3 linked regions of the Caenorhabditis elegans genome follow. The protein of the gene in region 1 purifies or fractionates together with the protein of each later gene. This does not show direct contact. Each region holds a gene or a part of one and is shown in the gene's direction. Other genes may lie near its edges. The genes, in order: gmap-1, zyg-9 and F07A11.5.

What was found.
Region 2: the proteins of gmap-1 (region 1) and zyg-9 fractionate together in Caenorhabditis elegans (co-fractionation; one large-scale study listed by BioGRID). This does not show direct contact.
Region 3: the proteins of gmap-1 (region 1) and F07A11.5 fractionate together in Caenorhabditis elegans (co-fractionation; one large-scale study listed by BioGRID). This does not show direct contact.

Annotation. Positions count from the first base shown.
Region 1 is NC_003284.9:12,933,342-12,937,096, reverse strand, and holds the start of gmap-1 (GM2 Activator Protein family member), read left to right. Parts: upstream 1-2,118; 5' UTR 2,119-2,201; coding exon 2,202-2,313; intron 2,314-3,456; coding exon 3,457-3,578; intron 3,579-3,627; coding exon 3,628-3,755.
Region 2 is NC_003280.10:8,456,113-8,459,867, forward strand, and holds the start of zyg-9 (Zygote defective protein 9), read left to right. Parts: upstream 1-1,705; 5' UTR 1,706-1,708; coding exon 1,709-1,900; intron 1,901-1,946; coding exon 1,947-2,804; intron 2,805-2,851; coding exon 2,852-3,430; intron 3,431-3,755. Other genes in the region: F22B5.6 (Serpentine Receptor, class J), read right to left, coding at 2-31. UniProt on the Caenorhabditis elegans protein: Plays a major role in organizing microtubules and spindle poles during mitosis and meiosis in one-cell stage embryos. Required for default nucleus positioning in oocytes.
Region 3 is NC_003280.10:11,610,168-11,613,922, forward strand, and holds the start of F07A11.5 (Ribokinase), read left to right. Parts: upstream 1-2,132; 5' UTR 2,133-2,169; coding exon 2,170-2,228; intron 2,229-2,292; coding exon 2,293-2,552; intron 2,553-3,161; coding exon 3,162-3,418; intron 3,419-3,503; coding exon 3,504-3,615; intron 3,616-3,671; coding exon 3,672-3,748; intron 3,749-3,755. Other genes in the region: F07A11.4 (ubiquitinyl hydrolase 1), read left to right, coding at 1-50, 96-322, 1,091-1,139.

The DNA of each region.
Region 1 (3,755 bases):
TTTATATGTTTACCTGTTTCCCAGCATGAAATTACTCGTTAAAGGAAGAGTTTCCTGGCAGGGGAATAATGTTTGAAAATATTAAAATTATACTAAAATTGGCAAAAAAAAATCATGATTGCAAATGCTCAAACAGTCATAATACCAAATCTCTGACTAAACTTTTCGGCAAATCGAAAGTTTGATGACGTATTTTTTAAATACAGTAAATCCGTCCGAACTTGAAATATGAATATTCGCTCTTTCAAAAATGTCAAAATTACTTTTTCATCATCTGAAATACACCTTTCAAGATAAAACACAGCGACGTTCGATCTATTGTGATTTGTGCCACTAAGTTTTAAAAAGCAAATCCAAGGTTTTTTTTCAGTTTTCTGCCACTAATATTGGACACAAATTTTAAAAAAAAATCAAGCTGAAATTATGAGCAATTGGTGGCCAAGAATTTTGATTCAGTCAATATTCTACTATTTTTTCTGTACTTATCTACCCTCTAGATATTTAATTTTCAAGTACTTCAGACTTTGAAAAAACAACCAGTTTTGATATTTTCACTTTTTACTTCACTTGAATTGAACAAGAGTTGAATAGTATTAATGTTTTAATGGTAGGTCAGATGTTCTGAAAACCTGAAATAGCAGTTGAGAAAAAGCAATTTCAAATTTCGCATTCAGTATTCACAATGAAACAGTAGTATTGAAAGTACGGCATTCCTTTCTGTTGTGGCCATTTTCTTTGTTCTCGTGTGGTTAGCCATCTTCAATTTGATGCTTTTGAAGAAAATGCGAGACGCCGAAAAAAAGGAAAAAAGCGATGAGTGGAGTAGAATGACGTAGATCGTTGCAATACAAAGAATCGCCAAAAAAAGGAGGCGAATTGATACCAGCTTTCTCGAACTTCTCCTCTCATTGTTCTGTTCCCTCGTTTGGCTTCTGCCTCATTTACTTGTACAGCTTTACACAAAAAAACCATAACAGTGTAAAGCTTATGATCTACCTACTTCTTTGAGCGACTTCAAAATTTGACCCATAAATCACAAATAGTGTAAACCCAAATACAAACGTAAACTAACCCAAACCTATATTTTCAAAGTCAACGTCATTATTAATTGATGCGATAGACTTAGCTAAAGACTCAATTATCTAACGGCTACATCAAGATATAAACATAATGATCATAATTACTCATATTGATAGATGAGCGTAGAGATGATGTCACTGATAAAAAGAGGGCCAGCAGTTGTTTTTGAGGTTTCTGGTTCATTTCTTGGTTTTCTCAATTTTCGTAGTCGATCAAAGCAACACAAAACATAAAACACCAAACTTGCTAAACAGTCAATATATAGAAAAAGAAAAATTGTTTCCACCCGCTGCGACATTGACTAGTAGATCAAATTTCAAATTTTAACAATTTTAGGTCATTTTTTGAGCCGTCATTAGGTTTTTTTTTGAGAAGTTTTTAACAAGTTTCATTATGAAATTCGGTGTTTTCAGACAATTTTGAGACTAATAAAGCAATAATCCAATGTACTGCTTTTAAGAAAGAAGAGTAGGCATTTCAACATTACAAGTATCACTTTAATATTTTTTATTTATGTTTGAAATACATTTCGAATTCGGGTAGGAACTCACAAAAACGATAAATTGGACGGTTGTGTTAAGTGGTAACACAAGAACACTATAGTTTTCTTTTATGTCTATCGTATATCAAATTGGATACAATCAGAAAATTGAGACACTTTTAGTTTCATATGCACAGTAAAGGGAATAAGAGAAAAACGACTGGATAATACATTAATTGTCGAACAAGAGCACTTCTATACACTTCACTATACAAGCAGTTTCTTAGAAAATGCCAAAAGATTAACTCCATTCAAAATGACACTTCCTACATTTTTCACTAAAGTTCAAGAAACCCCAAGTTTCAAAAGGTCAACTATCTCTGTTGTGACGACATAAGTGACAATGGTGTCAGATCACTCTTTTTTCTATTTCAGGGGGTCGCCGTCGTCTTACTCTCCTCACCTTACTCTTGTTTCGTTTTCTCTGAGAGGTGGGGGTCGCGTGCCTAGGTAGGTGTATGGGCAGCCGCCTTTCGCGAAACAAAACTCACTCCGCCCACTGTATTCTATCCTATCACGTCGACGACTTCGACGTCTTCTCCTCCAGTGGCCAGTGTGTCGAGAAACACGACTTGCGTTAATGACGACCCGAAGAATCGTACTGTTGTGTGCCGTTGCCGCGTGCGTCTCAGCCGCCTCCTCGGAGATCTCTGTCCGCATCGAAAGACACTTCCCATGCTCAGCTAGTTCAGGTTTGTTTCAGTTTTTTTTATTTTTTGATGTTGCTTAATTTATAGTGAAATGGTCAAGGAACCACTATCAAGTTTAAAATCCAACTCCAAAATTATGATACGAAACACTTTTTAGTGTCCCCGAATTTTTGAATGTTTGAATATCTGAACTTTGAAATACTAAATAGAAAACATTCATTGGTATTTATTAAATAGGATCATTTTTATTACTGTAGGCTTTGCAAATCACAAGCGCCCCAAAAAACCGTGTTCATTTATGCCATTAGCAATTAATATTATACCATTAGCTATTAAGCGTACGGTTTAAACAAACAAAAACAAATAGTGAAAATGCATCAACGGAAATCTGATATGTTGTTTGGGATAAAGTTTGATTTCAAGCTACAAGTTTAACTATTTTGAGGGTCAAAAATTTTCACGTCGAAATCAACTTGTATACTTTTTGTTTAGCCATTCAAACTCTATGTTTTAGTTCCCTGTTTCAATACAACATAATCAACAAAGGTGAACACTTCAATTTTTCATAAAATCCAGTTTTTTTCCCAATTGACCAATAAAATTAGACACTTGAAATTAGTTCAATAGTCCATTGACTGTCTACTCACGTCATTTTTTCTGCGAACAAAAAAAACGTGTTTTTAATTCAATTGTCCACCTATCCAAAGCTTCTCGAGACATTGCTCTACCCGGCGACCCAATCAGTTGTTTGATTAGGGATATAGAAAAAAAAATTGATCGAACTGCAGCCGACGGCTAGGAAGTGCGTGGCCTTGGAGACGCCATACTGTTGTATCGTCAATGATATCGATAACAGAGTAGAGGGGGTAGGCTATCAGAAAGAAAAACTGACGTCCCGATTTTATTTTATCTCTATTTCCATTATTTCCTGTTTTGTGGAACGCTTCGCCAAATCCCAGGTCGGAAAAGGATGGGGATTTTGCAAAAAAACTGACAAATCTAGCACTGTGTTCGATTTTATAAGTTGATAATAAATCACACAAATGCGAAAGGTCACGTAACTAGTACAATTTCGGAAAATTCAAAAGACTGTATGTATCTCTTTAAAAAAAATTCAATAAATTATGAAGGCTCTCCTAAACATTATTATTTTTTAATTATTGAATTCAATTTTCAATTTTTCAGGTCCAAAGAAAGATTCTTTGCTCATCAAGTTCCCATCATACAAAACCGCCGGAGTTCAATTCCACGAAGAAATTGGAGAGAATGGACACAAATGCTTCAGAATGTCCGGTGGCAAAGTTGAGGTTAGTGATCAGCTCGTTGCAAACCAGAATAAACATTTCATCAATTTAGGTTTATGCCCCAGGACTAAATGGCTCCAAGAAATACTATGTGCATCTTGAGACAAGAATCGGAATCCACGGAAAGCCAGAACGATGCGTAAATGCTGATGCTAATGGGTGTGGAGGAATCGGATCATG
Region 2 (3,755 bases), on another chromosome or scaffold:
CTTGTACAAAAAATGGAATGTTCTTCGACATCGTCAGAAGAACGACTTTTTCGCTGACTCAACTGACACTGTTTCATGATACATTGTTTTCTTTTATACCGTATGTTTATATGTATGTTATTGTGTTATAGACGAATTTTCGATGAGACAAAATATGTGAAAATTTTTATTTAGAGTCAAAATATTATCTTCGAGTTCACCGTGAATTATATGATATTGCGCCAGAAGCCACCAGCTTTCAGGAACCGTTGGTAGGATAAGAGCCTCCAAGAAGTACGATGGACGTTTTTTTTGTGAGATCCACGTCGAGAGACAACACGAATTAACATAAGCAAAAGTACCATAGGGGTTTTTCATGCTTCTTCTCACGAATTGTTAAAATTTAGATTTTTTTATTCAAAAAAAAAAGGTTTAATAAACGCGTGCTGCATGCAACACTAACTTTCGGGCCCTTTTTTTTACGCGTGCTGCATACAACACTAACTTTCGAGCACTATTAGAGACTGCAGTATTATCAGAAAATAAATATGATGTTTGTAAATTAACAAGAAACCATCAAAAATATACAAAAACACACATTATTAGAGACTGTAGTACTATTGAAGATGCAGCGCTAATAGGAAATATACGGTATTTGAGAAATCGATAGAAAATCTGCAGTAACCAAAGTTTGCAACAACAGTACTCTTTAAAGACGCGCACCTTTTTCATTTATCAAAAATTTGTCGTGTCGAGACCGCACAGCATTTTTGGCGCCAAATTTCCTGTTTTTCTCGCGTTTCAAACGCGTTTTTTAGGCGTAGGCTCATTTTTGTCTTGTTACAAATCAAAAATTTTCATCTCCCGGTCTCCATATCTGAAATTGACCTTGATCGATGGCTTAAGCGCGCGAATTCTCCCTTCCAAAACACTTCTTGTTCATTTTGCATTCGTATTTTTGAAATAAACATTTCTTCGTTGCGCTTTAATTATTTTTAAGACCAAATTTCGCTATTTAACAGAGCTTTTTAGAAAATGTTTCCTTTCTTGTTCAGTACGCAGTTGACAGCCCCGTCGTTTTACGCGCGCGTTGCGTATCAAGCATGCCACTTGACGACATTTTTATTCGAACGCGCGGTAGAAAATAGTTTTGAAAAGCGCAACGGAAACCTTCTCGCTTTCGCACTTTTTCAATGAATATCAGTTGTTCCCATGTGAGCTCATCATTAAATTGTTTAAATAATTTGTCGTCGCAAGTTAAGCTTTTCAGTGTTTGTCGCACAGTGTTAAGCGTTTGTTCGAGATGTTTCGTCCTTTTTTTGAGATTTTGTTTCTTTGTGAAGCACTTCCATTATCTAATTAATCAAATTTATTATCTGCGTAGTGTTTTAGTATTCACTTGGCTCGAACAAAAAGTTGTATAAAGAATTCATTGATTTTTTGTCCTTTCTTTTTTTTTGCCGCGTAGTGCAACTGAGCCGGCCCGTCCGCCTCTGTTTCTCTGTTTGCGCTTCTTTTTGACGGGTTGCGAAATCGGTCGAAAATGGGCTTGCGGCGAAAAAGTTCCATGTGACCCCAATTACCCCTCGCAGTTCGAAAATATTGATTTTTTCCCTCTACGTTCTCCACCGGAAATCTATTGTTGAAATCTCCTTTCTCTTCAAAACTTATTTTCGTTCGCTTTCTTTGTTTATTGCAAGGCACGTAGTAAACTGTCATTTTTCAGATAATGTCCAATTGGGATTATCTGGACGAGGTGGATATCCTTCCCAAACTTCCACCGAACTTCGATGAGCTGCGAGAATCCAAAAAATGGCAGGAACGAAAAGAGGCATTGGAAGCACTTCTCAAAGTACTCACGGACAATGAGCGACTTTCAACAAAAGCTTCATATGCCGAACTTATTGGTCATCTGCAGATGGTTGGTTTTCATATTTTTCGGTCATTTCTGCAATCTCATTTTACAGGTTCTAGCAAAAGATGCAAACATCAATTGCCAAGCGCTTGCAGCCAAATGCATCGGAAAATTCGCAACGGGATTACGTGCAAAATTCTCTTCTTTCGCAGGACCACTTCTTCCCGTCATTTTCGAAAAAATGAAAGAAAAGAAGCCGATGCTCCGAGAACCTCTTGTAGACTGTTCCAATGAAGTCGGCCGTACAATGCAATCTTTGGAAACTGGTCAGGAAGACATTTTGGCGGCGCTGGCCAAACCAAATCCTCAGATCAAGCAACAGACTGCACTTTTTGTGGCTCGGCAGTTAGATTTGGTGGTTCCAGCAAAACAACCAAAAGGATTCATCAAAGCTGTTGTGCCTGTGTTTGGAAAATTGACTGGCGATGCAGATCAAGATGTCAGAGAGGCATCTCTTCAAGGTTTAGGAGCTGTTCAGCGCATCATTGGAGACAAAAACGTTAAAAATCTCCTCGGCGATGCTTCTTCCGATGAAGGGAAAATGAAAAAGATTGGGGAATATGCTGAAAAATCAACCGCTAGCTTCGCAGAAGAACAAGCTAAAAATGCTCCACCAGTCGCTCCCACTTCTTCGACACCTTCGGCAAGTGCTGCTTCGGGAGATCCATCCGGCGGAACAGCAACTGCTGTTGTTTCATCTGGAGCTCCAGTTGCGGAAGCCGATCCTTGGGATTTTCTTGACGCTTTCGACGTACTTTCCAAAATGCCCGACGGTTTTGATACCAACATCGAAAGCAAGAAATGGCAGGAACGAAAAGAAGCGCTTGAAGGTTTGCTTCAATTGATCACAGCGAATCCGAAGCTCGACCCAAAGGCAAACTATGGCGCACTCGTTGAGAGATTGCAGAAGGTATGTGTATTTTGTCCTGAAAAATTATTTTAAATTCAAATATTAAGGTCCTCGAGAAAGATGCAAATATCAATGTGGCTGCACTAGCGGCCAATTGTATAACTGGTATTGCTAATGGTCTCCGTACGAAGTTCCAGCCGTTTGCTGTGTCTGTGACTCCAATCATTTTTGAGAAGTTCAAAGAGAAGAAACCAACTCTACGTGATCCGCTGGTTGCTTGCATTGATGCAGTTGTTGCAACCACAAATCTCGAAGCAGTTGGAGAAATCGTACTCGCAGCGCTCGGAAAACCAAATCCAAGCATTAAGACTCAAACGGATCTTTTCCTTCAACGATGCTTCATGAAACTGAATTCACAGACCATGCCGAAGAAGACTTTGAAGACGCTGATCCCGTCGTTGATAAAACATTCTGGTGATTCGGATTCGGAAGTTCGTGAAGCATCATACGCTGCAATGGGAGCAATGATGAGAGCCATTGGAGAAAAACCTTCTCTGCAACTTCTCGCCGATATTGCATCGGATAATCTGAAAATGAGCAAAATCAAGGAGTTTCATCAGAAGGCGTTGGATGAAGCTGGGCCCGCAGAGATTGCTGAAATGGTCAAATCGATTCACAAAGCAGATGTGAGTTATTTTATTATTATTAACCAGCCGCTGACCGCGCCTACGGCGCGGGCAACGCCTGGCACCATTAAAAGTATTTGACACACATACCTTCAATCACTCAAAAAATTTCTCATCATGAAAAAAACTTGAAACACTTAAAACGCGGTTTACTGGCACTGTTACATGTATGTATTTTTCTACGACATGCATGTTTCAAAAATTCACAGACAGTATGAAAACTTTCTGTTATTTTTTGACCAAGACAGTAACCTTACAATACCACTACAGTACCTTGACATTATCCTCCACCGACTCCTAACCCAATACCTCTTCAAAGGACGAA
Region 3 (3,755 bases), on another chromosome or scaffold:
TTGATATGTCTCCGTTTTTAGCAGAAACATCTCCACATCCTAATTCAACGGTAACTATTCACAGTAATTATTTTCAAAAAATATTGAAATTTCAGATGTATGATCTAACGGGAGTAGTATGCCATAGTGGAAACAGTTACTTCGGTCATTATATTAGTATGGGTCGACTCGCCGATTTTGATTCGTCGAAAACGAAAATCGAATGGAGGAATTTCGATGATTCGACGGTGGCTCGGCAGTCTACGAGCACTTTACAAACGGAGGATGCTTACTTACTCTTCTATAAAATGAGAGATCAGAATGTGACGAGGAGTATATTCAAGTGAGTTGGAAACCCCAAGAACTATAAATCTGGGAAAGAATTTCCTGAAATTCAAGAAAATCGATAAATCCTGAGAACGGCTTTTTTTGAGACGAAGACGTTCAAATAATTGAGATAGTTTCCAGCACGGTATTGATAGTATGATAGTTGATTAGAAAGCACTATTGTAATAAGCAAATTGATAATTGAATTTGTAAGCATTGGATAAAAGTGAGAACTGATTGATTCAGCTTCAGATTTGGACAATTTATATATTCCAAATCTAAATAATAAGTTCCACGACCGAGGTCACGCAAATTGAAAATTTTTTTCTTAAATTTTTCTTTAAAAAATTAAATAAAAATTTTGGATTTCAATAATAAGAAACCGTGATTTGCTTGTTTTTTCAAAACTTTTAGGCAAAGATTTCATAAATCGCCAAAAAATTGTGAATTTCTGTGGTTATTTAAGATATCCTGCAGGTTCGAGCTCCTAGAATTTGAAAAAAACAATTAGTACGAAATTAGTAAAAAAAAACCAGGATAACATATTTTGACCGACTTACAAGGTAATGCTTGAAAACTGAATGTTCAGAACTTTTTCACTGGAATAAAAATTTCAAAAAAGGTTTTGAAAGTTTTTCCATAATATTTTTTATTTTGGAACTAGTTGTTCATTTTCAAACTGATGAGTTTTTTTTTTTTTTTAATGATTTAATTTTTAATGATCACCGCGCTGGGTTTTTATCAAAGTAACCTATTCCGATCAATGAACAATTTTTTATTTCAGACGCCACTACTCGTGTGATCCTGGAGCTCCAGAAGAAGTCAAAATTTAGTCATTTTTCTAGATTTTCATAAATTCATCAATTTTTTTTTCCACGTGTTGTTCATTGTCTTCATTTCTTTCAAAACCTGTTACCATGTTTTTAGATATTACATCTTTGATTTAATATTTATATATTTTTCATTAATTTTCCTAATTTTATTGATTATTAAAATAACAATTGTTTGAATCCACGGAGACCGGTTTCAGTTTTTTTTTTGTTCCCCGAAGAGAATAAATTAATTTCAAAATTAAAATTCTGTCCTTGACTGCAAAGGAAAAAAAGAAAAAAGAAATCAAGATAAGCCGATGAAAATTGATAAGAAGGGGAAAAGATAAGATACGAGTTCCAAATATTATCTGTTTTTAGTTCAATGCATTTTGAGGCCATTCACGTGCCATTTTGCAGGCCTACGTGCCTGCCTATCGCCTGATTTCTGAATTTTGGCCCGTGATATATGACGCCATTGTTTTGTTTTTTTTTCACATAAAATCACTGTCAGTGAAAATTTTTAAAGATCAAAAAAATAACCAAAACAATTAATTTTTGATCACAATTTTATCTGACCTGAATGGTTTAAAATGGGAACATTATCTGTTTGGGAACCTTCAAAAAAAATTTTTTTGCTTTTTTTAAAATTTGCTTTTGGTTTTTGAAAGCTTTTTCTAGGAATTATAGGGTCTGTCATCATTGTAGGTTCTTCATGCGAACGGGCCTACGTGCCTGCCTACAAATTATTTGCTTCGCTTTCAAGAGGACTAACATGTTTCCTTTCAGTAGAGTGTAGGCATGAGGCAGGCAGGCATTTTTAGCCACCTAAAAAATTTCTGGAAAATAATACTACGTGTGTCTTATTCTCTTACCATAACTGACCAGCTGCCAAATTTGTTGGCAAACAGTTTTTGCCCTCAACAAGCTAACCACCTGATTCTCTTTCTCTCTTCTCTTTTTTGTGTTTCTTTGATTATTTGACACGTGCTATCAATCGCATTTTTATTTTTTTATTTCAGAATTTTCTAAATTAAAAAAAAAGCATATCGTTATGTCAAGTGAAAACCAGAAAATCGTGGTTTTCGGAAGTATCGTTCAGGATCTTGTCAGGTCTGTTTTTTTTAAATTTTATCTTTCATTAAACAATTTTACATTATAAACTACCAATTTCCAGCTACACAGATAGTTTCCCAAGACCTGGAGAGTCGGTGCGCGGTCACAATTTCAAGCTGGGCTCCGGCGGAAAAGGCGCCAATCAGGCAGTTGCTGCGGCTCGCCTAGGGATCAATGTCTCAATGATTGGAATGGTTGGAGAAGATATGTTCGGAGATTCTAATATTAAGGATTTGAGCAGCAATGGAGTTGATACAAGTTGTGTGGGACGGACCAAAAAGACACATACCGCCACAGCGACTATCACTGTTAACAAAGAAGGTTTGTATCCGAGTTTTGGCGGGAAAAAAATATTTAAGATTATGTGTGGCCTCTTGAATGTCTTGAAGAAACATTCAATATTTGTAGCAAGACCCTACCTCTAAGAAAAAATTGCCAACCGGGTTAAGAATAAGTTCCTATAGCTATATCTGTTCTTATAGCTCGTAGATCACTGAAATTCTAATTTTGTTCTGAAAACGATTTGTCTACGTTCATAGAATCTATTTTCTCTTTCTTTTTCCCCCATTTTTTTGGTGACGTAATATAAATAACTTATTATTTCGAAGAACCTTCAGTGACGACGACAAACAAATAACTTTGAACTGGAACTAATAGTAAGAAGTGGGGGAGAGAGGGTAAGGAGAATTACAAATTTTTAGACTCAAAAAGTGAGCTCAAAATGTGATGCATCTAGTAGAAAATTGGAATTTGACATATGTAGAAAAAATATTTCAAATAGCATCTACAGACATGAAAAGTTCGATTTGTTACAGTGCAATTGAGGTGTAAAACTATTAAAATATGGTAAATTCGAAAAATTAAATTTTCTTGATTTTCAGATTTACATGAGACTTACATTATTTCAAATCCAAATTCCAAAATTTCCAGGCGAAAACAACATTGTGGTGACGCTGGGTGCAAATCTTGAAATGTCGCCTGAAATCGCTGATGCGAACTCTTCAAAAATTGCTGGCTCGAAAATGGTCATTTGTCAGGGAGAAATTGACGAAAAAGGAAATAGAAGAGCCTTCGAAATTGCTAGAAGTCACGGAGTCACCACTTTTTTAAATCCAGCTCCTGGGGATCCGAATATGGATAAGACGATTCTCGAGCTGGTTGATATTATTTGTACCAATGAGAATGAAGTAGGTCTATGTTATTTTTTCTAATCAATTGAACTTTTCCAAATATTGTTCTGAACAAAAAATAAATTAAATTTCAACTTTCCAGGCGGAATTCATCACTGGAATCGCTCAAAACAACGTGAAAGACGCTGAAAAAGCAGCACGTGCAATGCTCAAAATGGGACCTCAACATGCGATCATAACTCTCGGAGGCAAAGGTTGGGGGACTTACACTGGGATAATTTGAAACAATAAATTTTTTTTTGAATTGTAGGTGTCCTGCTTGCATCCAAAGGAGTCGATGATGTTGAGCATACCGCCGTGATCAAAGTCGATGCAGTTGATACTACGGTAATAC